Linked DNA regions of Lytechinus pictus. Each later gene encodes a partner of the first gene's protein in a complex. Links are inferred from orthologs where the notes say so. Each region holds a gene or a part of one and is shown on either strand. Other genes may lie near its edges.

Region 1 (10,549 bases):
AGAATAATGTAAAGATTGGGAATGGGATTAAGGATTATTTAGTTTTGGAGGTTAAGTTTTATGTTTGGCTTCACATGCAGATTTTCCATCGGAGCAATTGTAGGGACAGTGATTTTCCGTTTCAGAAAATCTCAAATTCCGTTTCAGCACGTCTGAAAACGGAAATTCCGTTTCCCCATAGACTTTGTGTACATGAAAAAGTGACAATTCCGTTTACATAGAAAACCAATACGCAATGAGTAGCGATGTCAAAATGCTAGCGCTGGTCAAAATTTGCATCTACCAATGTACTAACATCGCTTTAAAATCCATTTTTATCGAAGAGATTCGAGCTCAAAAACTCTTTAGAGAAACATAATCAACATGAATACATTCTCACCTTTCATATTATTCGCATTATTTTATGGTTAAATGGGATTTTATCGCTGATTTGGGGACTTTTCGGACATCGTTTTGAGCAGTCGACGACTTCTGCCTATCCGCCATTTTGGATTTGTTGAATCACCGTGATCATTATATTATGACCGAACGCAGAGGGCAGCAACACACGGCCGTATTCTGCCTTATATGCGGACGTGAGTGTAAACTAATTTAGATACAATCGAGTGATGGAGGGGCTCGAGTGTAGTTACGATGTGTTGATTGTCATGATTGTTGTTGCAAAGTGAGATTGTGTTTTTTTCAGTTGATATTCGTATTTTGGTGAGGATTTGGGATTAATTTCTGTTGCTATTTTGTGCATTTTGGGAAAAATCATGTTTTCTGTGATTTTCCGTTTGAAAAGCCACTTTCCGTTTCAAAAGGCCGATTCCGTGAATTCCGTCCGTTTTCCGCGATCGCGGAAAATCACTGTCCCTACAATTGTCACCGACAAATGTCACAGAACCGATTGGGGAGAATGATATAACTTTTGAAAAATAATTTCATAGTTTGCAGAGTTTTTAAAGATGTAATCGTAGATCATGGGCAGACTCACAAAGAAATCATTACAACAACAGAAATCTGTTTGACTGAACACAGTTGACAAGATATTGCTTCCATGAGTTAGGTGATTAGTTGCTTCAGTGATATAGGTGATAATTAGACTTGTCGAAGGTCGACTAGCGATACAAGAGTTCGGATACTGAAATTTCACATACACTACAAGAGCAGAGTGAGTACAAGATTGTATTCAAATTCATTCAAATGATCAGTGAACATACTCTTCAGACGATACTAAACTTTAAATAGGGGTATTGTTATTTTTCGGAGGGAATGATTTTCATTGTAATATTACGAAAAATAATATTGGTAACAGCAGCAAGCGTGCGCTCAATCACATTTAGGTGACTTAAGTCACAAAAGGGTTGGTTCTCCAGCATAAAGTTGATTTGAATGAAAAGAGGAGTCAAAGTAGAAAACAGTGAGTTACATTAATATTGGATGTAGTATAAGAAAGTTAAGCCATTTTAAATTTTTGCTTAATTTCACAAAACTGTGTTGTGCATATATGCATAACCGTTTTGTAAAAAATAAAGCGAAAATGTAAAATGGCATAACTTTCTTATTTTACATCTAATTTCAAAAAGTTTTCACTGTTTAATGCTCATATCTTTTTCCTCTTTTTATTTAAACCCACATTGTGTTTGGGTGGACTTGAAGTTAATGTACTAATGACTTACTGGATTCTTAAGAAGGGCGACAAAGTCTGGTTTGTGTTTTCTGATGATAGCATCAAGCTCCTGGTAAGGATCCGGGCATCTCTTGGAGACGATGAGGGAGACCGTATGGTAGAGCTCCTTGTATGGACCCCATATCCTGGAGCCTGTAAAACAAATAGAGATTCAATGAAAAAATGGAACTCTGATATGACTACCCCACTTCAATCCTTCCTTAATTAAAGGGAAATCCAAGCAAAAGTTTAATGAAAAGAGAAAAATCAAACAAGCATTAAACATCAAGTCAACCCAAGCAAAAAATTGAAAGTTAAATAACTCTTGTCTATGTTGGCGGTGCTGAGGCCATGTCTTGCTCCAATATCTAGAGATTGGTTGATGAGACATTTACTCAGCCAGACAATCAAAACACTGCAGCCCAAATTCACAAAGATGGTTTTGAAAACCCACGTTTGAGTCCATGTTTTATGCAGATTTCCTGTATAAATTACGCTTAATTTACCTGATACGCGCTAAATCAAGGGAGAGACGGAGAAAGGGGGGGGGGGAGAGAAAAACAACATCTCTGTGTCATCTCCGATCTCCTGCACAAACTTTCAAGTGATCGATATTGGCATTTACGATATCAAAGCAATCTACAGTCATTTTTTTTACACCTTATATTTGCTTATATGAAAGAAAAATCAAGTTGAAAAAAATTGTATTTGTAATCATCAGATCATGAATTATTGGTGGAAATTCTGAGATGCAAGTTATCAAACCTAACATAGCTGGCTGTTTGTGTTTATGTGTACACGACCGAAAAACATGCCGTGTACACGTGCATCAAAAATGGACTTTTATAACGGGTCTATATGATTCAATGATTGTATTTTTGTTTTGGTCCAATTATGCTTTTTAAAAGTGTCCAATATTTGGGCACTTTCCTCTAAGTAAATAATTTCCATTTACCATTATTTTTCTATTCTATTTCAGGGTGCTACATAAGCACTTGCCCGATTGCCCAGGGCAAGTTACAGTTAGAGTCGGGCAAGTGTTTTGAAGTAAAGATCAAAACTACTTGCCCGAATTGGGCAAACAAAATTCTCACAGTAGAATGACCAAAATTAGGGTTGATTTGAAATATTGACCCTAATTTTGGTCATGGCAGGCAAGATAAAATCATTTTGGAAAAAGAAATGCAATAACAAAGTAGACCATCAGTTCAACTTCATGTCAAGAGAGAAAAGGGTCAATGGTTTAACAACTGCAAAACCTTCTTTTGGAGAGGTAAAACATTTTTTAATGATTTTTCGGGCAAGTGAAATAGATTTTTGGGCAAGTATATTACAACTATTTAAAAATCTACTTGCCCGACTGGGCAAGTGCTTCTAGAATAAAAAGCTATGTAGCACCTAGACAGCTGGCAGCCGTCTTTTTCGAGGATTTTTTTTTACATTTTAAACTTTTTTATTTCTCCTCGTACACAGACGGCTCGCTATCGTGCAGCCACCATTAGGGGGTTAACAATGCAAAATCCCCCCGACGGGGCTCATCGATTTTTGTCTTTATTTCATAAATACATGTATATATAAAAAGAACTGTACCAAAAATAAAGATTATTCCGTTTTGGCCTAAAATGCACCAAAACGGGGAAAAGACATTGACTTACTTCGGCTGTCGCGCAACTTCACTTCCCTGTTTTAGCCTAACTTAATAGTAAAATACATAAACATATGGCCATTGAGTTCCTGTACAGATCGAGCTAAAACTTGTCTCTGTATTTGGTGAGTGGAGCAAACAGAGTTCAGCGGAACAGCCAACATAACGCTAACAGAGACCGAAGCTTTTGGTCTATGTCGCACCCTGCTAATTTTTTTTTCTATTAATTTTATGACACTAATATTCAACATTTGTCATGTTTGTACTTCTACGGAAATAAACATGATTTTTAATTTTATAATTATACGATTCAATGACAATGATTGTATTTTTGTTCGGGTCCAATTATGCTTAAGTGTCCAGGGGCCCGTTTCTCAACACCGTCATAAGTCTAACTCGGAGATAGTGCTCAGCTACTTGTCCGCTAACCGTTTCACGAAGCCCTCTTTACCAAGATCGGGTACAACAACCTTACTAAATATTTATGACACCTCCGAACCTGTCATAACTTCTTTCTTAATGACGTAGTGGCATCACATGGATAGACTATGACAAGCAAAAGTGCCTAGATATTTGAAAATAACAATCTTACGTAATCAATCATAGAGGTTGAAATTACATCACAAAACAAGTGGGATAATGCATTCAATGATAATTCTAATAGAAAGAAACTATAAAAACTGTTGGTAAAACGCCACAAAACCATTCAGTTTGAAATAGTAAAATGACTTAATCGATAAAGATTCTACGTCAGGCCATCCATAACTGGACTCGTATTTGTCGTTTTCAAACCCCTATTAACATTTGGATAAATTCTATCTCTAATTTATGCATAGAATTTGTCAAATCGTATGTTTCAGTTTCAAAGATTTATTTTTGTTTTTTGTTAAACTATATTTTGATGATGTTTGGAATCGTAGAAGGGCGTATAAATTGTCATCATTTTACAAAGAAAACCGTTATGGTTTACTTTCGCAAACTATTAAAATTCGATGTCCCGTGGGTACCCATCTCAACGTCCACATGTGATTTTCTAGTCATGAAATGATTTATTCATAATTTAATTTTCTCAGCAATTGAATGCTCTAATCTTCATGGTCTAAGTATGTATGATGCATAATTTACATGTGCTATTATTTTGAAAAGATGCATTTCCTAATTCATCACAATATTTGCAATTTTGTCATAATTTTTCTTTTTGAAAATTATGCTAGTTTGTGACTAAGGCTACGTCTCGTCTGCTCTTTTTACCGAAGGCGATAGTATCGATATCAAGGTATTCTAGTCAGTAGAGGCGCACGGCCAATATTGGAGACTGTCTCCAATGTGGGAGATTATCTCCAATATCAGAGACTTTTGTAAAGAATTTGGGTATCCAATTTCAGAGACAGTCTCCAGTTTTGGAGTCCAATTTCCTTTGTTTACATTTGCTGCAAAAGGATTACTTTGGCGGCAAATAAAAATGTGATAAGCAGATTCCTCATGAAAAATTACCCCTTTTCAAAGTCTACTTTAAATATTCACCGTCTACTTTTGTTTTGATAAAGGATTTTTGTTGTCAATCACACACAAAACGAATGGGCTTCTGACCTCGGTGAGACAAAATTTTGGGTGGAAAAAATCATGCTTTTGTTGGTGTTGTTTCTTTTGTCCTTTTGCAAAGCAAGTCTCCAATGTGGGAGATTGTCTCCCCTATTGGGGAGAGTCTCCCATATGATATTGGCCGTGCGCCTCTACTGCTAGTTAGGAAGCCTTTCGAGAAACAGGTTTAGTAAGATTGGAACTATCACCGTGGTTGGTGAATGGTGGATAGAGTCAAAGATATGACAAGTAACTTGTCCAGGTGTTGAGAAACGGGCCCCAGTATTTGGGCACTTTACTCTAGACTTAGACTAGTCTAAATCGGATTTTTTAAAATTCTAACGTTAAATCAGATTTTTCATTTTTTTTTTATTGACTTTTTGTTTTAAATTAATTTTTGTTTTTTTAAAACAAAGTGCAAACATCAAAAATATTACCCTTACTTTAGCCTATGCCATGGCTATGGTATTTCCCATTTCACAATTAGCGTCTAAATCCAGTAAAAATTGAATTTGTTAGTTAGCAGTAGACGAATTGGCATTTTTACCCGATTCATTTCAGGAGCCGCAAGCCGCGCGCCTGAGATCGCACCCACCGAGACTGGACACTCAACATCGCCAGAGCGTCGGCGGTGAAAAGAAACGAACTCGCTGAACTCAGTCAAATAACCCCCTGGAAATGGATATAAATCTTATAGATCTACTGCAAATAATCATCTGGATTCACCTTAGCACGCATACTATCAACATTGAACATAATGAATCAGTTTATTTCAAGGGTTATGGAACCAAGGAAAATACAATTTTCACAAAAGTAGGAGTTTGAATCTTACCCAAATTAACCGCCATGCGTTCTGCCATTTTGACCGATTTCTAGCAGACGGTTAGAGCGCCATCTAACGTCATGTTAGGGTTAATACATTTTTCTTTTGCGCTTCTAGTCCGGGTTATAACTGAGCAAGGTGCCACTTGGAGAAGGAGAAATTTTCATATAGTGCCTCTAGACCAGTTTTTTACGCTGAATATGAATATATGAGGTAAACAGGCTGTATCCTGAAAATTAACCTGTGAGGGCGCTTTTTTCAAAATGGCCGCCATATTTTCTGAGAATTCGAATTTTCGTACATAGATTTTGACATAAGCATTCAATTGCCATAAAATTAGTGTCATATGAAAGCCAAATAAATTCCCTACAATTTGGTACTATTTATAGGGGATAAGTAGGTCATTTGGCTGAGATTTTAAGTAGAAAACTGCATTTTTTGTATTTTTTTCCCAAAAATTGAAAATTTTACAAATACATGATTTTACATAATTCTATGAAAAATTTATTAATTACCTTGAAATGTTCCTGAAAACTTTATTGATATACTATTATCATGTGGATGAAATTACAACTCTGTATCATTCTTTTTAGCAAATTTATAAGGTATCAAACTTGAATACTTCAATTTCAGAAATGTCGCTTTTTGTTTGCATTTCCATAGATTAATACGTATAACATGTATGATACATGTATGTATGATGTATAGTTAAAACTTAAATGCAATTATCTCCACTAGTTAATCACTTGCAGAGTTAAGAGAAGGCTTTAATTCTCTATCAGCTACATAAAACAAAATTTTGGCACATCGAAGCCTAACATTTTCAGGGGGTGGGGTGTCGAAGTCCTCCCCCCCCCCCCCCCGTTGCTATATCATGTTGTTGTATATTGCCTATTTGTTAGTAAAATAAGGTTTTTTGGAGCACCCATTGAGGCAAAAGGCATTTCTGTTATACAGTACATCCACTTTAATTGCTTTGAAACCACTTGGCGAGGAAAAGAATAGACTTTTTTCTACCAGCTAAATCTAAAGAAGTGGCACATCGAAGCCTACCCCTCTCGGGGAGGGGGAGCTTTTGCTTAATATTGCCAATTTATTTGAAAATTCACAACATTGAGGCCAAAAAGCGTTTGTGCTTTGTTGTACACCCTATTTTATTGATTTGAGACCACTTAGAGAGGAAAGAGTAGGGTAGAGTAGAGTTTACCAGCTACATATTAATAAGCGCTGGCACGTCGAACCCTAGCCCTCTCAGGGGCTGTCTAAGTCAACCCCCCCCCCTCCTCTATATCATGTATATTGCCTATTATATTGGATATTTCACCATTTTGGATCACCCATTGAGGCAAAAGCGCGTTTCTACTATATAGTACAGCCAATTTTATTTTCTTGCAATGACTCAGAGAAGAAAGAGTAGGCTTTGCTCTATCAGCTGTAAAGAAGTGTTGGCAAATCAAAGCCTAGCTATCCCCTTCAGAATGTTCGGGGGCTGTAGAATTTACCTCACCAATTTTCGGTATTTGACTATCTATTGGACATTCACAATTTTGGATCACTCATTAAAGCAAAAGGGCGTTTCTACTATTATAGTACAGCAAATTATATTTTCTTGCAATGACTTGGAGAGCAAAGAGTAGGCTTTGCTCTATTAGCTCCATATAAAGAAGTGTTGGCAAATTGAAGCCTATCTCATTCAGGCGGCTGTAAAAGTTACCCCACTAATTTTTGGTATTTGGCTACTTGTTGAAAATTCACCATTTTGGAGCCCCCATTGAAGCAAAAAGGCGTCTCTGATATATAGTTTTGCCACTTTTATTGCCTTGAAACCGCTAAGAGAGGAAAGAATGGGCTTTGCTTTATCAGCTATAAAGATGTGCTGGCAAATAAAAGCCTACCCCCTTCTGGGGTCTGTCGAAATCACCCCCTCCCCCTTTGCATTATTGCCTATTTATTGGAAAATTCACAATTTTTGAGCCCCCATTGAGGTAAAAAGGCAACTCTGATATATAGTTCTGCCACTTTTACTGCCTTGAAACCAATTAAGGAGGACAGAATATGCTTTAATTGCTCTATCAGCTACCTATAAAGAATTGCCTTTTGCCTCAATGGGTGCTCCAAAAAACAGTTAGTTTTCTAACAAATAGGCAATATACAACAACATGATATAGCAACGGGGGGGGGGGGGGGGGGGGAGGACTTCGACACCCCCACCCCCTGAAAATGTTTTATGTAGCTGATAGAGAAAAGCCTACTCCTGACTCTGCAAGTGATTAACTAGTGGAGATAATAGCATTTAAGTTTTAACTATACATTATACATACATGTATTATACATACATGTATTATACATGTTATACGTATTAATCTATGGAAATGCATACAAAAAGCGACATTTCTGAAATTGAAGTATTCAAGTTTGATACCTTATAAATTTGCTAAAAAGAATGATACAGAGTTGTAATTTCATCCACATGATAATAGTATATCAATAAAGTTTTCAGGAACATTTCAAGGTAATTAATAAATTTTTCATAGAATTATGTAAAATCATGTATTTGTAAAATTTTTAATTTTTGGGAAAAAAATACAAAAAATGCAGTTTTCTACTTAAAATCTCAACCAAATGACCAACTTATCCCCTATAAATAGTACCAAATTGTAGGGAATTTATTTGGCTTTCATATGACACTAATTTTATGGCAATTGAATGCTTATGTCAAAATCTATGTACGAAAATTCAAATTCTCAGAAAATATGGCGGCCATTTTGAAAAAAGCGCCCTCACAGGTTAATTTTCAGGATACAGCCTGTTTACCTCATATATTCATATTCAGCGTAAAAAACTGGTCTAGAGGCACTATATGAAAATTTCTCCTTCTCCAAGTGGCACCTTGCTCAGTTATAACCCGGACTATTCGCACTGAACTAGAAATATTTCTAGTTCAGTGGCGCTTCGTCGTTTTTTAACTTTTAACTTCAGATTGGGTACTGGCGTTCCAATAGGCATAATTAAATGAATAATGGGGGGGGGGGGGAATCATATCCTGTCTAATTTTCATTGTTTTTATTATTATTTTTTATTTTAATTCTCCTCATACACAAGACGGCTCGCTATCGTGCAGCCACCGTTAGGGGACTTACAATGCAAAATCCCCCCGTCGGGGCTCTTCAATTTTTTGTCTTTAATGAATCAAACTTTTGAAAATTAACGCGACCGAAATGCAAATTAATATTCCCTCTTGGCATTAATTGCCCCAAAACGGGGAAAATCAAGTTAAAAGGAACAAAAACAGTGACTTACCTCGGCTGTCGCGCAACTTCACTGCCCTGTTTTATCCGAACTTAATACACATAAACATATGGTCATTGAGTCCCCTGTACAGATCGCGCTAGAACTTCGGTCTCTGTATTTGGTGAGTGAAGCCAAAGGAGTTCAGCTGAACAACCAACATAACAGAGACCGAAGCTTTTGATCTAGGCTACGCCATGCTAAAAATTAAACGATTCACACAAATGAAAAACATTTAAAATTGATCAATTCGGGTGATATACAAAGTTCAGAATTTCACGTGGTCTTATTTTTACTTCTTCTATTATTTTGCAATTAAAGGAATTTTTCTTTCATACCTAATAGATTTCGAAATACATGTAGCCCCAACTCCTGAATAAAGACATGCCCAATCAGTATACCCATTACTCATTTAAAAACAATATCATATACACTCTTAAAATAGTTAGGCAAAAAATGCTTAACTTTTAATCAACCCTGGGCAACATACTGTCCACAAATGATTGGTTAAAATCTGCCCAAATTGGATAATAAATTTGTTAAATTTGATAATAATTGCTCAGAATATACCAACATACATTACCCAACACAGTGGACAGTATATTGCCCAAGATTTTAAGTGTGTATGAATACTTGCAATATCAATTATTTTGATAAATGAGGAAATCAACACTTATTTAATATTCATATATTTTAAAGACCTTTTACAACTTGCTTATTTTGTTTTTATTATTCTTGATTTACCACTTCCTCATTATCTTATGTATATTCATTTTCATTGCCTAAGTATTCTTGCCTTATTAATTACATCCATATTTCTTATGTCAGTTTTTACAAAGGTTACTTCTTTTTTATAATTATGTAATGAGTCTTTTAATTGTTTGTACTTTGTATACATGACCAATTCAGCAATTTGGCTGCGACTCATGTTTTTAGTAAACCTTGAATTGAATTGAGTTATTGAGGTGGTGTACGACCAAGCGGATATGTGGCAACATAATTATAAGGCAGGCCTACATAGGCCTTCATGTATTACCGCTAAACTGGCAACGAAATTAAATTGTAAATAGCAATTAATGTAAAATGATTAGAAGACGATCTGGTTGAAAACGAATTACGATTAGACTATGTAAGATGAGACCTAACGGAAGGTAGACAGGACGAGTGTAGACCAAGTGGTAATTTATCTTTGTAAATATTGGATAAAAAAAGAAGGGGGAAAAGGAACAAAGAAAAAACCTTCGCTGCTCCCAGACCGGCAGCATGTATAACAAGACCCAGGTCTGCATCTTTAACCTATTGGGTTAAGGGTGTTTCCATGACAACCTCCATGGTAACCAACCTCCATGGAAGTACGTAATTCCGAGATCAAGTATGGATGCAAGGAAGATGGGGGGGGGGTGAGTTAATGACAGGGGTATAGTCGATATGGGGGGATAAGGACAGAGAAATGGCGAATAGAGGGGAGGGGGAAAAATACGTCAACGCCCAATATTTGCATTTGTTGAAGTTTAACTTCGACACGTCTCGTCTGGCTTGACGTTTGGAAAGTAGACATCTG
Region 2 (10,549 bases), on another chromosome or scaffold:
GTGGCCCCACAAGCCCCCATCCCACCAGTAGGCCAGTGTTCTTGCATGTCCACGCAAGGCTACTCATGAAGAGGAAAGTGATATCATTATCTTGCTTGGTTTAGCTGCATGGGCTGATGTATTAAACATCCATATCACCATTCATCCAGAAATATTCATTGAACAGACAAGCTGAAGGGCTGTAGAGCTTGTGCATGTTCAAAACAATTTAAACAAGTTCTCAATATCGGCAACTGCGTTTTGGAGCAGGGGGGGGGGGTTCTGATACTGTCCGCTACATGCAACATAATTATGCAGGTGACACCTGGGAATTTAACCATCTGCCGAAGTAATGAAACCTTTTCATTTGTCATTGCTTCTGCATGTAGGCAATGCCATGAAAATGTTTCGTTTTGATCCTCCATTCTGCATGATATATGTGCTGCCAGACGCGGATCCAAGGGGGACGAGCCGCCCCCCCTATTCTTTGGCATCCAAAAAAATTTCCTTTTTAACTTGAGAAAAACACTGAAAAACACCGCATTTTGTTGGTTCACGATGTACGGCAAACCACGCTGTATACCGCAACTGCGCGCCCATCAATGAGCACATCCTGCATTCCATCAGCGACCAAATAGCTCTGCCATGTATGCATAGGATTGCCTATTCGCTCGGGTAGGCCGTAAGAAAATATTAAAAAATGTTTAAAATTTCCATTTTTTTTTTAGATTATGATCAAAGTGTTATTTAAGTTGGCCATGTTGACCTCTTGGGTTGCTAATCCAATGAATTCAAAAGTGATAATGTATAATATTTTACTTTTTGATGTAATTTAGACTCAATGGCATTGATACCGAATCCAGGAAAATTCTTAAAAAAAAAGAAGTCATGACCATTTTATGCCACATCCGTTACGCTCACAGGTGCATTTTCCCTACAACCGTTTATTGAAATTGTTAAAAAAAAAGTTATTGTGTTTACAAGTTACAACTGAATGTAAAATTTGTCTGATAAATCCAGCGAGAAGAGCGAAAACTTCTGAAGTGTAATGCTTTGAAATACAAAATGTCATGTCCGCTACTCTGCAATTTCCCATATAATTATAAACAGGACAAGTAATGATGTGTGTAAAGAAGTGGCAGGGAAATCTACTATTTTAACTTTGAACAAGAAAACTGAACAGTTTGTTCAAATATAATGTCTCAATATGCAATAGTGGGCTTTAGTACTTTTGATTAATGATGAATTTTAGTGCAAATTCCTCTTCTAACAAATATACACTATCATTAAGGTTATTTTTAAGTAATTGCAATTCATGTTATAACGATAATGGAAATCGATTTTTGGTTTCCAATAGCTTCCGATACAAGACAATGTTTTTTAAAGACAGATTACTTCATACCAGACTGCACAGTGTCCTTATCATGCTAGTACATTCTTCTGTTGCCGATATGAAACTGAACATGAATGGAGATAATGAATCGCACCGCAAGAGTTTAATAACTGCTTGAATTGCTACCATAAACATAGAAATCGCTAACAGTTGATTGTAAACCTATATTAACGCCGGTTAACACTTAACTGAATGGTACATAATAATGGTAATTACATCCGGTTAGCGTTGCTTAGCTTTTTCACGGAAGAAGAAGAAGAATAGGGAGGGTGAAAAGATGATGATGATGATGACGATGATGATGATGATGATGATGATAATGATGATAATGGTGGTGGTGATGATGATGATGATGATAATGGTGATAATGATGATGATGATGGTGACGATGAACATGATTATGATGATGGTGATGATAATGATGGTGATGATGATGGTGATGATGGTGATGGTGATGATGATGATGGTGATGATGATGGTGATGATGGTGATGATGGTGATGATGGTGATGACGATGATGATGGGTGTGTATCAGCATCAGGGATGTGTCAAAATAAAGCCCACCCCCCAAAAAAAAAAGTGCTTTACATGACATTATCAATAAGAGGCACGGGTCGTAAGTCGCGTTATGCTATCACTTTTTGTGAGGACCGTTTTTGGCTATGCGTTTCTCGACTTATCTTTTGCAGTCGCATGGAGTACTGATATAAGGCGTCTATTTATAAATTGGGTTTGGAGGCCGCAATCATCTAGTACTTCCAAAGCCCGGGGTTCCAAAGACACAAATGTCATTTCAGAGTAGGATAACCAACAAAAATGTGTGAGCAAATAGGTTTAAGCTTTATATATATATATATATATATATATATATATATATATATATATATTATATATAATGACTGTATACGAAACTGCAGTTACTGAAAAGTGCTCAACCACATGTGATGTACATATAGAAGCTTCATGTAGTATAGTAATAGGGTGGAGCGAGTTGCTTAGATTTTAGTTGTATAGACTGTTTCCCCCCGAGGGTTCACCAGCTGATGAACCCTCGGGGGGAAACAGTCTGTACAACTAAAATCTAAGCAACTCGCTCCACCCTATTACTATACTATATATATATATATATATATATATATATATGTAAAGTTATACATGTACAACATGTATATATATATATATATATATATATGTGTGTGTGTGTGTGTGTGTGTGTGTAGGGGTGTGTGTGTGTGTGTGTGTGAATGTAAGAACAATGGAAAACTCGGTTGTGCCCCACCCCCCACCCCTGAGGAGAGATTTCCGCCCTTGTGATCTATACAATTAAGTAGTGTTTTCTTTATTCCCTCATTTCCACGTTTATATTCTACAAATTAATGTGTTGTAATTATTCTGTAATTGATTTGTACTTGATTTGTATTTGTATTTGCTTATGCAGGCCTATATGTGATGTATATTTGATTTGTATTTGTCTATGATACCGTTGAACTAGATATGAGAATGGGGAGAATTTAGATAATCCCGACCTTTCGTTGGAGAACGCGAACGCTTATTTATGACGGTAGTTGATTTTGGAAGAGACTTTTAGGCCCGTCGTCATGGTCGTAAAACTCTGTCCTGCAATGCAAATTGTGTGACATGAGATTTTTTTACGTTTCGCATCTGCAACGGAAACATTCAATATGCGTTTCGTGTGCAAAATTATGGTTGCTTCTATGGTAACAGCGATATATCCGATTTAGGACGACTTTCCAGAGCCACATTTGGCTCCTCCCAGAGCTCGAGAGGCCGCCTGGGGGGCCCACTTCCATTGCCGAGTGGATACCAGGCGCAACCACGCGTAAAAGGGGACAGAGTGGGCAAGTACGTTACGTACTAGTATATAGGCCTTTGTAACGTTATAAGGGTGTCAATGTTTAAAAAAGTGATATATTTCCAATACTTGTAGGGTTTCACAAGCCAAATACTTAAGAGATGCATTTTCATAATCTGGAAAAACCTTGCTTCGATCCTTGTTTAGGTTGCTTTTCGAAACCGCATGGTCGTGCCTGGTATCCATTCATCAATGGAAGTGGTCCCCATTTGAATCTAATCCCCCATTTCTGGGGAAAGTAAAACATAATTACATTGCATTGTGTGCTAGAGGCATATTGTTTGTGTAGGGGAGTAAACAAAAGAAAAAACCCGCAATTTCGGCTGGTATTCAGAGGTATATATGCTATGTAGATATCAAATCATGCGAAATGGTTTCAGCTGGAGAGGTCATCTGACCCATGGAATCAATTGCCAGTGATCCACCAATAATCCACATTAAATACAATATCGATTCGATGGACTGTAATGATCTATATTATCTAAGCCTTAATTCAGTAAGTTTTTCCTCACTCAATATGTACTCGATTTGTTTGAAAAAACACTTTTTTATCCAAGTCATAATCTATTGTGGGCCCTGCCCCGGGCCCTGCATTTCGAATATCTCCAGCCAGCTGTCATAGCTAGTAGAGGTTCGCCGCCGGCTCAGGGGGCATATACGATGATGACCAGACGTACACATGCATGAAAACGGGTGTCGCGTGAAAGAGTTTGCACACGAAAAGCAGATCTATATAGGGCCTGTATCACAAAGCTTAGCAATGAATGTAGAACAGTTTTATATGATTGATTCCATTGATTATAATGTACAATTACTCGTGAAAATCGAATGTACGATTAGGGGACCCTAATCTTACCGTCCCTGAGGTTTGCGAAAGGTGGCTATTATGACAAAACGACGAGTTGCTGAGACACAGGGTTCGAGCAACCATCTGTGCTTGAGGTGGTTTAATTGAAGAAAAAAAATCAATCTCTCGATCGAGGCTCGACATTCCCGGGGTCGAACGGATCGAACCCTAGCCTCTTGTCGAGGCCCTGGCGGCTGCTTCCCGAGCGAATTAGGATATCCCTCGCTTCGCTCGGGAAGCAGCCGCCAGGGCCTCGACAAGAGGCTAATCGAACCCTCAACACGAATGCATTCAGTTAATGTATATATGGATTGATATATAGTATATATATGTGTGTATATATATATATATAATATATATAAATACATGTATTCAATTCCCCCCCCCCCCCCAAACTCACCCAAAATCACTTTCCATCCTACAAGGGCTCGTCTCCCAAAGTAGGTAGGATTTAAAGGCGTCTTGTCTCCGGGAAAGATCGAGACTTCACAGACGTTGATGTTCACATCAACGGGACAGACGTATCCCCATACTCCGGTACGGGTGTAGGATTGGATATGTGATTTTCCTCATTTCCTTTCTCTGTCATCTCCATCCTAGGTTCACTTGCATACTAGTAGGCCTATACATCTAACATATTTTGAGTAAAAGCCCTGGTTTTAATTTTTTGAGACACACCTACTCGACTTTATATCCTCGATACCCTAAAAATAAAAAAATAATTAAAAAAAATAAATAGAAAAGAAAAAGAAGAGAAAAAGAAAGAAAAAAAAAATATTTGAATTTTACTTTATATAATTTTTTTTTTCAAAGAAAACAACGTGAATAATGCAATATTTATGATGGCGAAAATAGTCAAATTCATGGTTGCCAAATAAAAAGAAAAAGAAGAACCCCCCCCCCCCCGAACCTTCGGCCACCCCGCGCCGACCAGCGCCATCCAGTAATCGATTAGTCTGCTGTGCAAACCCTTCACTAGAGTTAAGGGTCTGAATTGCAGCCTATTTATGCCTCGTTTACTGAAACAGCAAGTTTTGTATGTGCTAGTCTTTGCGTGGAGACATACTTGTTGATCAAAATTTCAATCAGGGTCTGTGCCTGCAGACTAGTAATCGATAGCCGGCGATCGACGTTCGCGTTCAGCGATTTTAAAGGAACAAAATGGCGGCGTACGAGCGGGAAATTCCATTTTTGGTACGTATTTTTAACGTTATTATGGTACGTTATCTATTTTTGTGGTAATCAGTAATTATTTGTTTGTTCGCTTTATATCTTAGGTCAACTGAAAATGTTTTATTTCGAGATTTTCAGTCAAAATCCGTGATGGAATTTGTTTGTTGGGTTTTATCTTCATAACCGTTACAAATAAATTAACATGTGGGACTGTCTGAGTAGGACCTGTCTCGAAGTCGAACTCTGGCTCTGAAACTGATCTGATATGCCAACCAGCGGGAGCGGCGCGGTGGAGCTTCCCTTCACTGCTTCAGCATGTTCAGACCTAGACAGCTGGCAGCCGTCTGTTTCGAGGAGTTTTTTAACATTTTTTATTTTTTTAATTTCTCCTCATACACAGACTGCTCGCTATCGTGCAGCCACCATTAGCAGATTAGGGCCGGGACTTACAATGCAAAATCCCCCCGTCGGGGCTCTTTATTTTTTGTCTTAAAAAGTTTAATGAATCAAACTTTTGAAAATTAACGCGACCGAAATGCAAATTAATATTCCCTCTTGGCATCGATTGCCAAAAAAACGAGGAAAATCAAGTTAAAAGGAACAAAAACAGTGACTTACCTCGGCTGTCGCGCAACTTCACTGCCCTGTTTTATCCAAACTTAATACACATAAACATATGCCACATATGGCCATTGAGTCCCCTGTAGGATGCACTCCTAGTACCAATGAGGTCCAACATTACATGTATGGACCTCATAGGCGACATCAGTAGTATTTTTGGTTAGAAATCTCTGAGAACAGGATATTTATACATTATATCACAAGTACAAGCTATATTCCTTTCTCTTATTTAAATTATAATTTTATAGTGTAAATGCATCGTTAGCAACAACAAAAAATGAAAGAAATGAAGGGGAACTTACATTTTCACGGCTTTTTCCTGATTTTCTGGGCAGCTGCTCTTCTCTTCTGACTCGCGATCGAAGCTGATATGAAGATCACGTGATTCGCGTTCTCGTCAGCTGATCGGTTGGTTATTCTTTTCGTCAGACGTTAATAATATATATTTTATAATGCTAGCATTCATCCCTAATTTAGGTGAAAGAGATTGAAGTTAAACAGCGCCAGGTCGGAATCATAATTATTTTGGAAGAGTGTATTTGTACACTCGATCTCATACCTGACGTAGACGGCGCTATTCAACAAATGCACAATCTTCAATATAAAAAATAAAACAGAAAGAACGCCTTGAACACAGGCCAAAATGCCTAACGATTTCTCCGCGGCATTAACAACTATCGTAAAGGGCGCTCCATTTATCAATAAAGATGGATGCTAAGCTGTCTATGGCGACAAAATTTGCCGCAAATATTTACGAAGAATTGTGAGAAATGGTCTGAAAATGCAACAAAAGAACCGGTGAGTACCGATTAAACATTATTAAAGTTGTAAATAGATTATACATACCTTGTAGATTTAGTTTTTAAGGTGATATTAGTGCTTAGTTCTAAGCTAGGGAGGCCCAAACGCGCGTGAGTGGAGTCCCAGTTTATTAGCACGGGTAAGTATTGGGGTGTCGCCTAGAGTGGTAGGATGGGGGGTCGGGTGTCCGGACACTTTATATTTTGAGGCCTTCTTTTTTGTCTTTGGATTGCACTAAAAATATGAATTCGATAGTTGTAATCATCTTCTATTAGGGTGTCTGGAGAAAAATATTATTTTTCTTATTTCAAGAAAATATCACATTTTCTTTGTGAATTTGAAGAGAAATGACCTTCAGACTGACAGAAATGTAACATTTTTGAAAAAAATCCGATTATTGGCTGCAAAAAAGAAGAATGAAATTAGGTCAATTTTCAGCATTTCTCTGCCATAGACTGTGTAGTTAAGAAATGGACACACACAAATCCAAATTTTTAGCTTCCGAGAGCTGTTATAAATTTATTATTAATGCCAAAAACTTGTCCATAAAGAGTCGAATAGGATTTTTTATGCTCTTTCTGATGGTATGATTTTTATAAAGATTTGGAAACCAGGGGCCCGTTTCTCAACACATGGACAAGTTAGTCATATCTTTATCCACCAACCACGGAGTTAGTACCAATCTTACTAAACCTGTTTCTCGAAAGGCTTCCTAACTAGAATACCTTGATATCGATAATATCGGTAAAAAGAGCAGACGAGACGTAGCCTTAGTCACAAAATAGCATAATTTTCAAATAGAAAATTATTACAAAATTGCAAATATTATGATGAATTGGGAAATAAATCTTTTCAAAATAATAGCACAGGTGAATTATGCATCATACATACTTAGACCATGAAGACTGGAGCATTCAATTGCAGAGAAAATTAGATTATGAATAATTCATTTCATGACTAAAAAATCACTTGTGGACGTTGAGATGGGTACCCCCGGGAGACCCAATTTTAATTGTTTACGAAAGTAAACCATAACGGTTTTCTTTGTAAAATGATGATAATTATACGGACTTTAACGATTCCAAACGTCATCAAAATATAGTTTAACGAATCATTTTTAATCATTGATACCGAAAGATACGATATTGGACAAATTATATGCATAAATTAGAGATAGAATTCATCCAACTGTTAAGAGGGGTCTGAAAACAACAAATACGAGTTCAGTTATGGATGGCCTGACGTGGTAAAATCTTTATCGATTAAATCATTTTGCTATTTCAAAATTAATGGTTTTGTGGCGTTTACCAACAGTTTTTATAGTTTCTTTGTTTTACAATTATCATTGAATGCATTAACCCACTTGTTTTGTGATGTAATTTCAACCTCTATGATTGATTATGTAAGATTATAATTTTAAAATTTCTAGGCACTTTCGCATGTCATAGTCTACCCACGTGATGCCACTACGTCATTAAGAAAGAAGTTAAGACAGGTTCGGAGGTGTCATAAATATTTAGTGAGGTTGTTGTACCCGATCTTGGTAAAGAGGGCTTCGTGAAACGGTTAGCGGACAAGTAGCTCACTATCTCCGATTTAGTCAAGAAGTTAGACTTATGACGGTGTTGAGAAACGGGCCCCAGATCACAATGAAAAATTGCGACAAAGTGAAAAAAATTGTGCAAAACAGAAATTTAATTTTCCCATAGAAAATGCATGGGGAAATGGCAATCTCAACACACACAAAAATAAGGGTTTGCAATTTATCTCTAAATCCTTATTTAAAATGATCATATAAACTTGTCCTTACTGTCAAAAGAAGCCCCTGAATTTTCTCTTTCCATACATGCCAAACACAAGTTAATAATCAATTCAGATCACATTTTTCTAGTAGCCTGAACTTCCCAAAAAAAATGTGCCATATTTTCCTCTAAATCAGCCTCTCTTATGCTGACACTTTTCAGTGTGGCTTCAGACACCCTACTTCTATTTTGTTCTCTATTATATTTCCTAACATTTTGTAATAAAAATTGATGAAACTTCACTTGTAATTTTTTCCAAATGACTTTCTAAATTGATCGTCCGGACACACAACCTGTCCGGACACACAACAACTGGGTATACAGATCGCGCTAGAACTTCGGTCTCTGTATTTGGTGAGTGAAGCCAACGGAGTTCAGCTGAATAACCAACATAACAGAGACCGAAGCTTTTGGTCTACTTCAGACCTAGCCAGGCGGCTTTCTAGAGAGTAAAAATCATTTACTAACGTAAGGTTACTCTCATACGAAGCCAGGCCTTCTATCTCATAGACCCACACAAAGGAAGTCAAAACCTGAAACTTTCACCCCCGAGATTTCTACTTTCCTTCTAAAAGATCTACGAGCGTCGCGTAACGTTGGGGAATTACAATAACTGAATAAGAAACAAGATACTAAATAGGTTCATTATTGCGGATTGAAATAATCGCTAGAGGGTATTCATTTGTCTCGCAATCTACTATGGTCAACAAGGAAATTCGTGATCACTCTCGCAAAAAGTGTTCACTGGCTTTCTAGGAAATTCGTGATCACTCTCGCAAAAAGTGTTCACTAGCTTACAAGTTCACGAGCTTTCGAGTGCCGCTGCAACTCTTTATCAAGTGACGAAAATTATCTGATGACGTATTCTATTTATACTAATCTCCGGGACCGTACGCACGAACACGAGAACAATAGGTGGGCATTGATCCGTTGCGTCGGATGCGGTACGGCCGGTAATCCGTGTATGCAAATAAGCCGGGGGTATATGCAAATACGCCGGGGGTATATGCAAATACGCCGTGGGTCGGCAATATGCAAATTAGACAAAATTGGCGGGCTCGCTAGTTTCCCGTGGGCGGGGGCTGACTAGCTGAGCGGTCCCTCGTTCGGGGCCGGGAACGATCGGGTCGGCGTGCACTGCCAGGTAAGGCATGCCACCCTCGGGTGTGGAAGAGATACGTCGATGACACTTTCATAATCGTAAATAGATCCGAAACAGACAGCCTACTCTCATACATGAATAGCCAGCAACCGTCCATCCAGTTCACTCTGGAGACTGAGCAAGGAGGGAAATTAGCATTCCTTGACACGCTAGTCCAAAGACACGAGGGCGGGAAACTTTCCACCTCTGTCTACCGCAAGCCCACTCATACAGACCAATACATACCATATGATTCTCATCACGACAAATCGGTCAAGAAGGGTCTCGTTAAATGCCTGTTCGACAGAGCAGCACGTATCATAACTCACCCACCTGAACTCCCGAAAGAAATAGCACACATACGTGGCGCCTTGTACAGCAACGGCTACCCACGCCGTTTTATCAAGAACACTTTCAAGAAAAAACAACCACCAAGGGATCAGAAGGTTTTCAAGACTTGCACAGTCTTGCCATACATAGATGGCCTCTCACAACAACTTAAACGCCGATTAGAAGGTCACGGTATCCGAACGGTTTTCCGCTCGGACACCACCTTACGCAAACAGCTTGTACACCCCAAAGACCCTGTCCCTGACCACAGACGTGATGGCGTAGTATACAACATTCCTTGCCAGGGATGTGACGGGTCTTACATCGGAGAAACAGCCCGACCGATAGTTGAACGCATTTCTGAACACAAGCGCGATGTTCGGTTACAGCGAACCGACACATCTGCGGTGGCAGAACATGCTTGGGAGAAGCAACACCACCCAGATTGGGAGGGTGTACAATGCATTGCCAAAGAGAGACATTGGTATACACGCAGGATTAAGGAGGCTATTAGTATACGTCTTTGTCCTAACAACTTCAACAGAGACAGCGGGATCGACATCCCCGACTTCTGGATGCGAACCATCCG
Region 3 (10,549 bases), on another chromosome or scaffold:
CTCGACCTAAAAAATTTCTTAGAGGTCATTCTTGAAAATTGTTCCAAAGACGTTCCAGAACACAACTAACCGACCACTTCTTCAGTAACAGAGTGGTCCATCAGTGGAACAAACTTCCGGAAGAAGTTGTGTCTGCACCTACAGTGGCTACATTTAAGAAACGACTGAGAGCCCTTCCCTAAGGAATTGAGGGCTAATCTACCAAGTATACCAAGTAAGTAATTTTACAAGAAAAATCTTAATGTATTTTAATAACAAAGTGATTTTGAAAGACTTCAACCAGTGTTTGCTTTAATAAAGAAAGCACCAAAATGAAACTGACTGATTCAATTCTTCAGAATATCACATGCAATGCAGACAGATATCCAATAACTTTCATTAACTTTGATTATAACACTTTGGAAAAAATAAATGAAATGTTAACTTTACCAATTAATTTAATTCGAAATGAACCTAAAAGGTCAAGTCCACCCTAGAAAAATGATGATTTGAATAAATAGACAAAAATCCAACGAGCAAAACGCTAAAAATTTCATCAAAATCGGATGTAATATAAGAAATCTATGACATTTTAAAGTTTCGCTTATTTTTCACAAAACAGTTATATGCACATCTCAGTGACATGCAAATGACACAGTCGATGATGTCCATCACTCACTATTTCTTTTGTTTTTTATTGTTTGAATTATACAATATTTCATTTTTTACAGATTTGAAAATAAGGACCAACTTGACTGAACAATATAGTATTAAAACAATGCTAATTCCACATGTTCAGGGAGGAATTAATCTTTGTTTCACTTGACAATGAGGAGAAAATTAGAATATTTCATATTTCATATGATAAAATACATAAGAAATAGTGAGTGGATGACATCATCAGTCTCCTCATTTGCATACCGGCCAGGATGTACATATAACTGTTTTGTGAAATTAAGCAAAACTTTAAACAGTCATAACTTTCTCATTTTACATCCGATTTTGATGAAATTTTCAGTGTTATGCTTGTTGGATTTGTCTCTTTTTATTCAAATCAACTAATGGTTGGGGTGGACTTGTCCTTTAAGTTTGACCATGTTGACCCAGACCTAGACAGCTGGCAGCCGTCTGTTTCGAGAAGTTTTTTAAACATTTTTATCTTTTGTTAATTTCTCCTCGTACACAGATGGCTCGCTAAAGTGCAGCCACCATTAGGGGGTTAACAATGCGAGAAATCTCCCCGACGGGGCTCATCGATTTTTGTCTTTATTTCATAAAAATATAGAAAAAGAATTGTACCAAAATAAAGATTATTATTCCGTTTTGGCCTGAAATGCACTAATACGGGGAATAAACTTAAAAGGGGAAAAAACAGTGACTTACTTTGGCTGTTACGCTACTTTACTTCCGTTTTATCCGAACTTAATATATAAACATATGGCCATTGAGTCCCTGTACTATGTAGTACAGATCGAGCTAGAACTTCGGTCTCTTTATTTGGTGAGTTGGAGCCAACGGAGTTCAGCGGAACAACCAACATAACAGAGACTGAAGCTTTTGGTCTAAGACTCTAACCCAGACCAAGTTATCTAAATTCTGGCTAGAATTATATTCATCCAAATGCTGCTTGATTTGACTGACCAATCAAGAGGATTTAATTAATTCTCACAGTCCAGAGTCTACTGTATACCCAGTTGTTGCACTCGTTCATTGAACAAGGTTATGATATACCGGTAACCTTGTTCTCAGTTACATCTCCATGTGTGGCAAAATAAGGTTGACAATATTTGGCTTATTTTCCCTTTTTATTTTGGACAAATGCTTGATTTTTTTACACTGTCAGTTTCCATTACAGCTTTTCATTTTATAATTTGGATCTTAAGTAAATTTGATTTTTTTAATTATTTTTTTCTTTATTAAAAAATAGAGCTTGAAAAATGAAAATTTTCTTGCCATATTACTTTCCACCAATAGAGGGCGTACACAAAAATATGCCAAAAATTCAAGTATTTTAACACTCTGGGGCACGTTTCTCAATACCGTCATAAGTCTAACTTCTTGACTAAATCGGAGATAGTGAGCTACTTGTCCGCTAACCGTTTCACGAAGCCCTCTTTACCAAGATCGGGTACAACAACCTCACTAAATATTTATGACACCTCCGAACCTGTCTTAACTTCTTTCTTAATGATGTAGTGGCATCACGTGGGTAGACTATGACATGCGAAAGTGCCTAGAAATTTTAAAATTATAATCTTACGTAATCAATCATAGAGGTTGAAATTACATCACAAAACAAGTGGGTTAATGCATTCAATGATAATTGTAATATGTAAAGAAACTATAAAAACTGTTGGTAAACGCCACAAAACCATTCATTTTGAAATAGTAAAATGATTTAATCGATAAAGGTCAGGCCATCCATAACTGAACTCGTATTTGTTGTTTTCAGACCCCTATAACAGTTGGATGAATTCTATCTCTAATTTATGCATATAATTTGTCCAATATCGTATCTTCCGGTATCAATGATTAAAAATGTTTCGTTAAACTATATTTTGATGACGTTTGGAATCGTAAAAGTCTGTATAATTATCATCATTTTACAGAGAAAACCGTTATGGTTTACTTTCGTAAACTATTAAAATTGGGTCTCCCGGGGGTACCCATCTCAACGTCCACAAGTGATTTTTAAGTCATGAAATGAATTATTCATAATTTGATTTTCTCAGCAATTGAATGATCCAGTCTTCATGGTCTAAGTATGTATGATGCATAATTCACCTGTGCTATTATTTTCAAAAGATTTATTTCCCAATTCATCATAATATTTGCAATTTTTGTCACAATTTTTCTTTTTGAAAATTATGCTATTTTGTGACTAAGGCTACGTCTCATCTGCTCTTTTTACCGATAGTATCGATATCAAGGTATTCTAGTTAGGAAGCCTTTCGAGAAACAGGTTTAGTAAGATTGGAACTAACTCCGTGGTTGGTGGATAAAGATATGACTAACTTGTCCATGTGTTGAGAAACGGGCCCCTGGTCAACACAAAAATTATTCTAAGTTACTAATGAAAATTGAATTGCAACTGTATATAAATTAATATAATTTTGGTCACAAAAGTGATATTTTAATGATTTTTTAAAGTGTGTGCTCTATACAGCATTGGCATACCCTCTCTCTCTCTCTCTGTTTTGATCCTCCGCTCTTCGGAGATTAGCGATAAATCGCGGTCAGTCCTACCATAGTCCTACCTGTAGATTCCCCACAGGCAGGATGGTAGCAGTGAGCCAGTGAGTGGTTGTGTGTCCGGACAGGTTGTGTGTCCGGACGATCAATTTTAGAAAGTCATTTGGAAAAATGTACAAGCGAAGTTTCATCAATTTTTTTTACAAAATGTACGGAAATATTGTAGAGAACAAAATAGAAGATGATTACAACAATTGAATTCATGTTTTTAGTGTAATCCCAAGACAAAAAAGAAGGCTTCAAAAATATAAGTGTCCGGACACCCGACCCCCATCCTACAGTAAATACAAAGTACAACTACAAGATGAAAATGAATGATACAATAGATGAATGTTTGATTCAAGTAATAAACAGGAAAATAATTGTTAAATAACACAACAAGTCAACAGTGACTGTCGGTGACATACATTCAAAAGAACTTAAAGGGGAATCCAACCCAAATAAAAACTTGTATTTATAAGGAAAAGAAAAATCAGACAAGTTGAAAGGTGAAAGTTTGAACAATATTGGACAAACAACAAGAAAGTTATGAATTTTTAAAAGTCATAAATATTGGTAATCACTATACCCATGGAGACTTCAAATTGGCCGCATATGGGAAGTCATAGTGATGTAAGGCAAGGACTACTCTTCCATGTACTCCAATACATATTATGGCTAAAATGTCATTTTCCCCAAAAGTTTTATTTCAAATTATATTTTTCTTTCATGAGGACATAAAACGATATACTACTTGGGTTATATTTAGATTACTGCCCCAGGGGAATAGGGACTTAGGAGAAAACCACAAATCCCTGATAATAAAGTACCTGGCCAATGGGAAAGTTGTCCTTGCCCCTTGTCATAATTTACTTACTCAGTTGCCAATTTGAAATCTACATAGTATTAGTGATCTCAATTTTAAAGCAGCTATAACTTTCTTATCGCTTGTCCGATTTCTTTCAAACTTTCACCATTCTGTTTAATTTATTTTTCTCCTTCTCAACACAACATTTTATAGCCAAGGCTGGATTCCCCTTTAAGCTAAGGCTAAGCCTAGGCTATAAAAAATAGACCCTAAATCATTAATTTTTTTGGTTCTACTTTGAGTTTTCAATACCAAGTGTTTTTGCACTTCTGTCATTCTTGCAATTGCAGCCGGTGATCATTAAAAAAATCTTGCCACAGCCTCAGCCTATGTGTATGTCTAACGTTATGTTATGTAAATAATGTATGACGAGTATGTACTATGACTATGAGTATGAACCTCAGCAGTAGAGGCACACAGCCAATATGGGCACTCATTCAATGAACAAGGTTATGATATATGGGAGACTATCTACGACTCTAGATAATCTCCCATCATGCCCATAGCTTCTTTTCTTCTTCTTCTGTTGATTTCCTCCAGTCCTGGAGAACTGCGAGATCCAGTGGATACGCAGAAAAAATAGCATAGCCAGAGTCTTGCTTTGCAAAACAAAAGAATCAACACTGACAACAGTCAACACCAACAAAAGTGTAATTTTTTCCACCCAAAATTTTGTCTCACTGAGGTCAGAAGCCCATTTGTTTTGTGTGTGGATGACAACAAAAATCCTTATCAAAACAAAAGTAGACAGTGATTTTTTAAAGTAGACAGTGAAAAGGGGGTAATTTTTCATGAGGAATCTGCTTAATATTTATCAGTAACACTAACACATTTTTATTTGCCGCCAAGGTAAACTTTACTTTAGACTTTTAGTTTAAGTTTAACTTAAAGTTTAAGTTTAGTTTTTGAGGCAAATGTACACAAAGGAAATTGGTCTCCCAAACTGGAGATTGTCTCTGAAATTGGATACCCAAATTCTTTACAAAAGTCTCTGATATTTGAGATAATCTCTTCTCATGCCAGTCATAGGAGACAGTTTCCCATATTGGCCGTGCGCCTCTACTGCTCAGCCTCAGTGACTGACATGACACTGTCACTGACACTCCAGTCACACTCACACTCACAGAAGTCAGAAAAACACTCAGCTCAGCTAGCGGCTCCGAGTCCGACTGGTAGCTGCTGGCCTAATACTATTCTAGAGACTCCTCAGTTCAACTCACTCAAGAACTGGATCTCTCGTCAGGAAGAGGAAGAGCTAATCTAGATTCAACAAGAGCTTGAACGTTAATCTGTCTTGCAGCGGCAGCTACAGGCCAGGAGGTCGGTCAGCTTCAGCGGCGGTATACAGCCAGTGCGCCGGGCAGCGATGGGGTACCGTAGTAGTACGCTGCAGATCCGATACGTTCATTCATTCACCAACGTCTCGCCTATACGTAGACCTACGTAACATGCACGAGCACTGCACTGCACGCGCGCGCGCTAACATTTCAAAATGGCGAAATAAAAAAGTACCCTCTAAAATAATTTGTTTATAAATGAGTTTTAAATTAACTTTTTGAAAAATTAAAAAATTATTTAAAAGTAATTCAATAATAATTTTAAACTAATCGATGCATCCAGCTTAATTTCGATTCGATTTGACTCCTAAAAATCGACGTTTACCGAGTGACAAAAGACATGTAATATAAAAGGGGAAAAGTGCAGAAAATCACGTGACATTTAACCAATCAACTTCTTTGAAAAAGGCCGCCATCTTGACTCATCTACTGTGAAATTCAATGGAAACACTACGAGCTATTTCTTAATTTCGAAGATTATCAACTTATTCTAACCCTTGTGAAGGTTGCTGTGGCGGTCAGTTCATATTCAACTAGCCATGGCAACCCCGTCTGGTGGTAAATTTCGCCCGAAACGATCTCACTACTCGCGTAAACCATACGAACGTCCAAAACCGAAGGTGAGTATGAATGATCACACACGCGCAGTCGTGCCAAACTGCCATTGCTAACCGTATTGAAAATACATGTCGATCCGACGTGCATGACGTACATGCACGTACATGTAGAAACCAATGTGTCCATGCGATGTGTGCCGCTGCGTGTGTGTAATGTATGTGAATGAATGGACAGGTTGATTTTCAAATTAAGTTAAAGAAAATGAGGGGTGTTGATAGATAAGCTTACTTTTGTCCTTTTTTTATTTGACCTACCGTACATGATGATGTAAGGACCAGTGAATCTGTTCGAGAATGATTGAGAAATTTTTTTCCAAAAAAAGACCAAATTGTCAAAAAAAACTATGGGATACAACTTAATTTCCAACATTTCTACGCTATCGATTTCATTTTTAAACAAGAATTCATCAAAAAAATGAGCAAAATATTATGAAAAGATGGACGAGACTCGCCCGATGTTTACGCCGCCATCTAATGTTTTTCCCAACTGTTACGGACTGCGTCGGTGTGCGGCCGTTCGGCAGGCTCAGCAATACACCACTGAAATCACCAACACACTCTAGACATTTACACTACACATTCACTAACTCTCACACTACAAAATCATCCTGCTACTTGGGCAAAATCTCAAATAAAAAGTGAAATTTTCTTACCTAAATCACCATATCTCGCGTCAAAATATCACCATCGGTACTTCTTAACTAATCGTCAGTAGAGGCGCACGGCCAATATTGGAGACTGTCTCCAATGTGGGAGATTATCTCCAATATCCAGTAGAGGCGCATGGCCAATATTGGAGACTGTCTCCAATGTGGGAGATTATCTCCAATATCAGAGACTTTTGTAAAGAATTTGGGTATCCAATTTCAGAGACAGTCTCCAGTTTTGGAGTCCAATTTCCTTTGTTTACATTTGCTGCAAAAGGATTACCTTGGCGGCAAATAAAAATGTGATAAGCAGATTCCTCATGAAAAATTACCCCTTTTCACCGTCTGCTTTAAAAATTCACCGTCTACTTTTATTTTGATAAGGAATTTTGTTGTCAATCACACACAAAACAAATGGGCTTCTGACCTCAGTGAGACAAAATTTTGGATGGAAAAAATCATACTTTTGTTGGTGTTGTTTCTTTTGTCCTTTTGCAAAGCAAGTCTCCAATGTGGGAGATTGTCTCCCCTATTGGAGAGAGTCTCCCATATTGGCCGTGCGCCTCTACTGATATCAGAGACTTTTGTAAAGAATTTGGGTATCCAATTTCAGAGACAGTCTCCAGTTTTGGAGACCAATTTCCTTTGTTTACATTTGCTGCAAAAGGATTACCTTGGCGACAAATTAAAATGTGATAAGCAGATTCCTCATGAAAAATTACCCCTTTTCACCGTCTACTCTTGTTTTGATAAGGATTTTTGTTGTAAATCACACACAAAACAAATGGGCTTCTGACCTCAGTGTAGTGTAGCTTAGTCGGTTAGAGCGCCTGTTCCGGAAAAGATCGTAGATCTCAACGTGCGTGGGTTCGAGTCCCGCAGCATGCCGGAAGACGTCTAACAAAAAAACTGATGCTAGCGTTGTGTGTTAACGTGCCTCACCGCTGTGTTCAGTGCGGGTGTGAATGCAGTTGGAAAACACTCCGTCCATCGGAAAGGACGCAAATGTTGGTCCCGTGTATAGGAGAGTCACAACCTATGCACGTTAAAACCAATACTAGGGTGGACAAATTGAAATCCTAAAATTTTTATTTGAACGTCTTCACATTTTTATTTACAATGACATGAAAGAGAAAACAAAATCAAAGCAAACATACCAACTCCCAGTTCCAAAGGTTTCCAAAAAGTGAAGATATTAAGTGTCAAACTATGGCCTTTGTGAGACCAGAAAGGGACAGAGATAACCGATTCAGCCCCCTAACTTCCCCGAAGCTAGTTGTCACGTAAAATGGTCGATGAATAGCTAGTTTCGAACGACCTCCTTAAATTAATATTCAATTTTAAATTTGCCGCTGCAGCCCGGCTCGTAGTCTGTGGTAGCTTGTGCACGAGACGTTATTTACGAAAAATGCATTCTAAAAAGTAAAACTCTCCCCATAAATAGAAATTTACGATTTTCTTTAAAAATAAACGTTGATTCATATTTCATACCTATAAATGATGATCATTTGACATATTCGACTTCTAGATCATGTTTTTGGTGGAAGTTATTTCCATCTTTTCTTCTCCGTCAGAACTCCGAACGTAGTCACGGTCTTGCCATGCCCAGCGCACCCGGTACTGATGCACTGCGTATACGGTACTAGACCGGCCGCAGCTAGCTAGCTTCCCAGGCATAAATGCACAGTCATGACATGCCGTTGCCAATTTTAAGATATATTATAATTTACGTTTTTAAATGTTGTTTTATTTTTGTTTGTTTGTTTACGATCATGTCTAATTATGTAAATATTGTGTGTGATTTCCTGTAATTAAAAACATAGGCCTTATTAAAAAAAAAAAAAAAAAAAAATATATATATATATTTAAACGTAATAATAGTACTCACCTAAACTAAAAACACCTCACATGTGCCTGTGATGCACCCCGGCCATTGTCTGTACCAATCTATTTCTATGATTATTTTTTCGAAATTACCGAAGAACACGAAAATATGTACGTCCATAAATATTTCTTTTAGGTATGGAATATTATTACAACGAGCAAATGTTGTTACCAGACTTAGAAAAAATTCAGAAGTGGTAAATATTGTCCCATAAATGCATTTTTTTTTTAATACGAGGTTTAGAGGAGCGTATCTGTGAAGATCCATGGTGAAAAAGGCAGGACAAGCTGAAACTTGTTTTCATGAAACTTGTTTTCATTGTCGATTAAAGTTAGAAAGTTAATTTATTAATGGGGGTGACTTGAACACATCGGTAAAAGTATCAGTAGAAACAAACATAATTTACCTCTATATCATAAACATTAATTTTACCTCTAAATCATAAACATCCATAACAATATAGCACTGTATCAAACATATCAATTATTTCAGTTTTATGCTTAGAATAATCTTTTATGTTTGAGTGGAATTTCCCCATTTACAAGTTCAAGTTACTCTGTGCCCTTTGGTTCATGTCATGAAACCCGTTCTTATTTTCATTTCATTCATCAAATCAAATACGATACGGTGCAGTGCAACACGTGCAACAATGCCTGCTGTGGCGTATTGCAAAGATATCAATGTCTTTATGACATTAAAGGCATATTGTTTTGTTTATCATATCAACTGCAGCAGTTTTTGTCTCCACGAAGACATATATTTATTATTTTACTCCAACGAGGAAGCTGCCCAGGTGGAGTGGTGGAGCTGGTGCAAATTCATAACAGAGGATACGCCAAAATTTGCATACCTCTAGGTAACTATTTACACCCCCCCCCCCCCAAAAAAAAAAAAAAAAATAGAAAATAAAATAAAAAAAATGAGTCAAGCAGAGTAAAAGCAACAGTGGAAAATCTTTGATAAAGGCAAGTAGAAAAAGTAATAAAAACAGGTCTAAACAAATAACAATTATATCTATTTTTTTTTAGAGCTAAATTATAAAAATAACTTTTTAGTTTAAATAACAGTTTCATTGTATTATCAGCAATTTAATCCCAGATATTCCCCCCCCCCCTATCTCTCTCACGCTCTCTCATCCTCTCTGAATTTTATTTCTTCAAATAGAATGTTGAAGCCCATCGATCAAGCTTTGAATTTCTGCGTCAATCAGGGGAATTCCCTGTGTCTCTTGACAGGCTTGGGGTCGAACATGTGCCATTTGATCTCTCGCATGCGGTCTTTCCATTCAAGTTGTGGAAAATTCCATTCATAAATAATTTAGACTAATATCCAGTCTTTTATTTTTTTTCATTCGATTGATTTTCCTCACTTTACATGGCAGCGACTGTATTTCTCTTAATATTTTCAAAAAAAGGACTGTTTTTTAGACTAGACGTAAAAGTCAAGCGTCGCGCCACGCTACCGATTCATCAATATTCATGAGGAATCGTAACCACGTGATCGAAAAGATCGTCGGAAACGTGAATATTCAACAGCACTGGATGACGTCATTTTTAGTTTTTTGCTTGGGAATCCAAAACCCTGATAGGTATTGGCATGAAACCAACAGGAATAACACTAGAATACGATTTTCTAACGACCATATAATGTGCAGCTCAAAAAATGCACGGGATCATATTTTTTTTTAGTTTTTTCATCATTATTTCTGGATTGAGGGGGCGGGGCCTATGTACTTTTGACATCAGAATCTCTATCAAAAGTTCTTTCGCTGAAGTTAGCCCACATTTTTCATAGACTTACCAGTTGCCAATCCCAAGCAATTTAATGATCAAAATGTGGAAAAACACGGTCACTTCCGCATTGGTCTCGCCGTGCGTTTAGAGAGAAAACTCGGGAGGAATTGGGTACAAAATCCACTGAAATCTTCGGCATCGGCCAGTTTTTAGATAACGAACGATAATAGTAGGGACAAGTATAGTATTTGT

What was found. Proteins that work in one complex are often made in the same cells at the same time.
Region 2: nuclear pore complex protein Nup205-like (region 1) and nuclear pore complex protein Nup85-like share a complex: the UniProt entries of both Drosophila melanogaster proteins name them as parts of the nuclear pore complex. The link is inferred for Lytechinus pictus from reciprocal best matches to the Drosophila melanogaster genes Nup205 and Nup75.
Region 3: nuclear pore complex protein Nup205-like (region 1) and nuclear pore complex protein Nup153-like share a complex: the UniProt entries of both Drosophila melanogaster proteins name them as parts of the nuclear pore complex. The link is inferred for Lytechinus pictus from reciprocal best matches to the Drosophila melanogaster genes Nup205 and Nup153.

The regions. Positions count from the first base shown.
Region 1 is NC_087263.1:7,644,420-7,654,968, reverse strand, and holds the start of nuclear pore complex protein Nup205-like, read right to left. Parts: upstream 5,796-10,549; 5' UTR 5,738-5,795; coding exon 5,710-5,737; intron 1,805-5,709; coding exon 1,662-1,804; intron 1-1,661. UniProt on the Drosophila melanogaster protein: Plays a role in the nuclear pore complex (NPC) assembly and maintenance, but with limited role in NPC permeability. Required for specific nuclear import pathways such as Mad import.
Region 2 is NC_087254.1:31,796,796-31,807,344, reverse strand, and holds the start of nuclear pore complex protein Nup85-like, read left to right. Parts: upstream 1-5,194; 5' UTR 5,195-5,253; coding exon 5,254-5,286; intron 5,287-10,549. UniProt on the Drosophila melanogaster protein: Component of the nuclear pore complex (NPC) that seems to be required for NPC assembly and maintenance. Required for nuclear import of phosphorylated Mad via importin msk.
Region 3 is NC_087261.1:28,250,788-28,261,336, reverse strand, and holds the start of nuclear pore complex protein Nup153-like, read left to right. Parts: upstream 1-5,190; 5' UTR 5,191-5,398; exon of another isoform or gene 5,399-5,575; intron 5,576-5,823; 5' UTR 5,824-5,954; coding exon 5,955-6,035; intron 6,036-10,549. UniProt on the Drosophila melanogaster protein: Component of the nuclear pore complex (NPC), a complex required for the trafficking across the nuclear envelope. Functions as a scaffolding element in the nuclear phase of the NPC.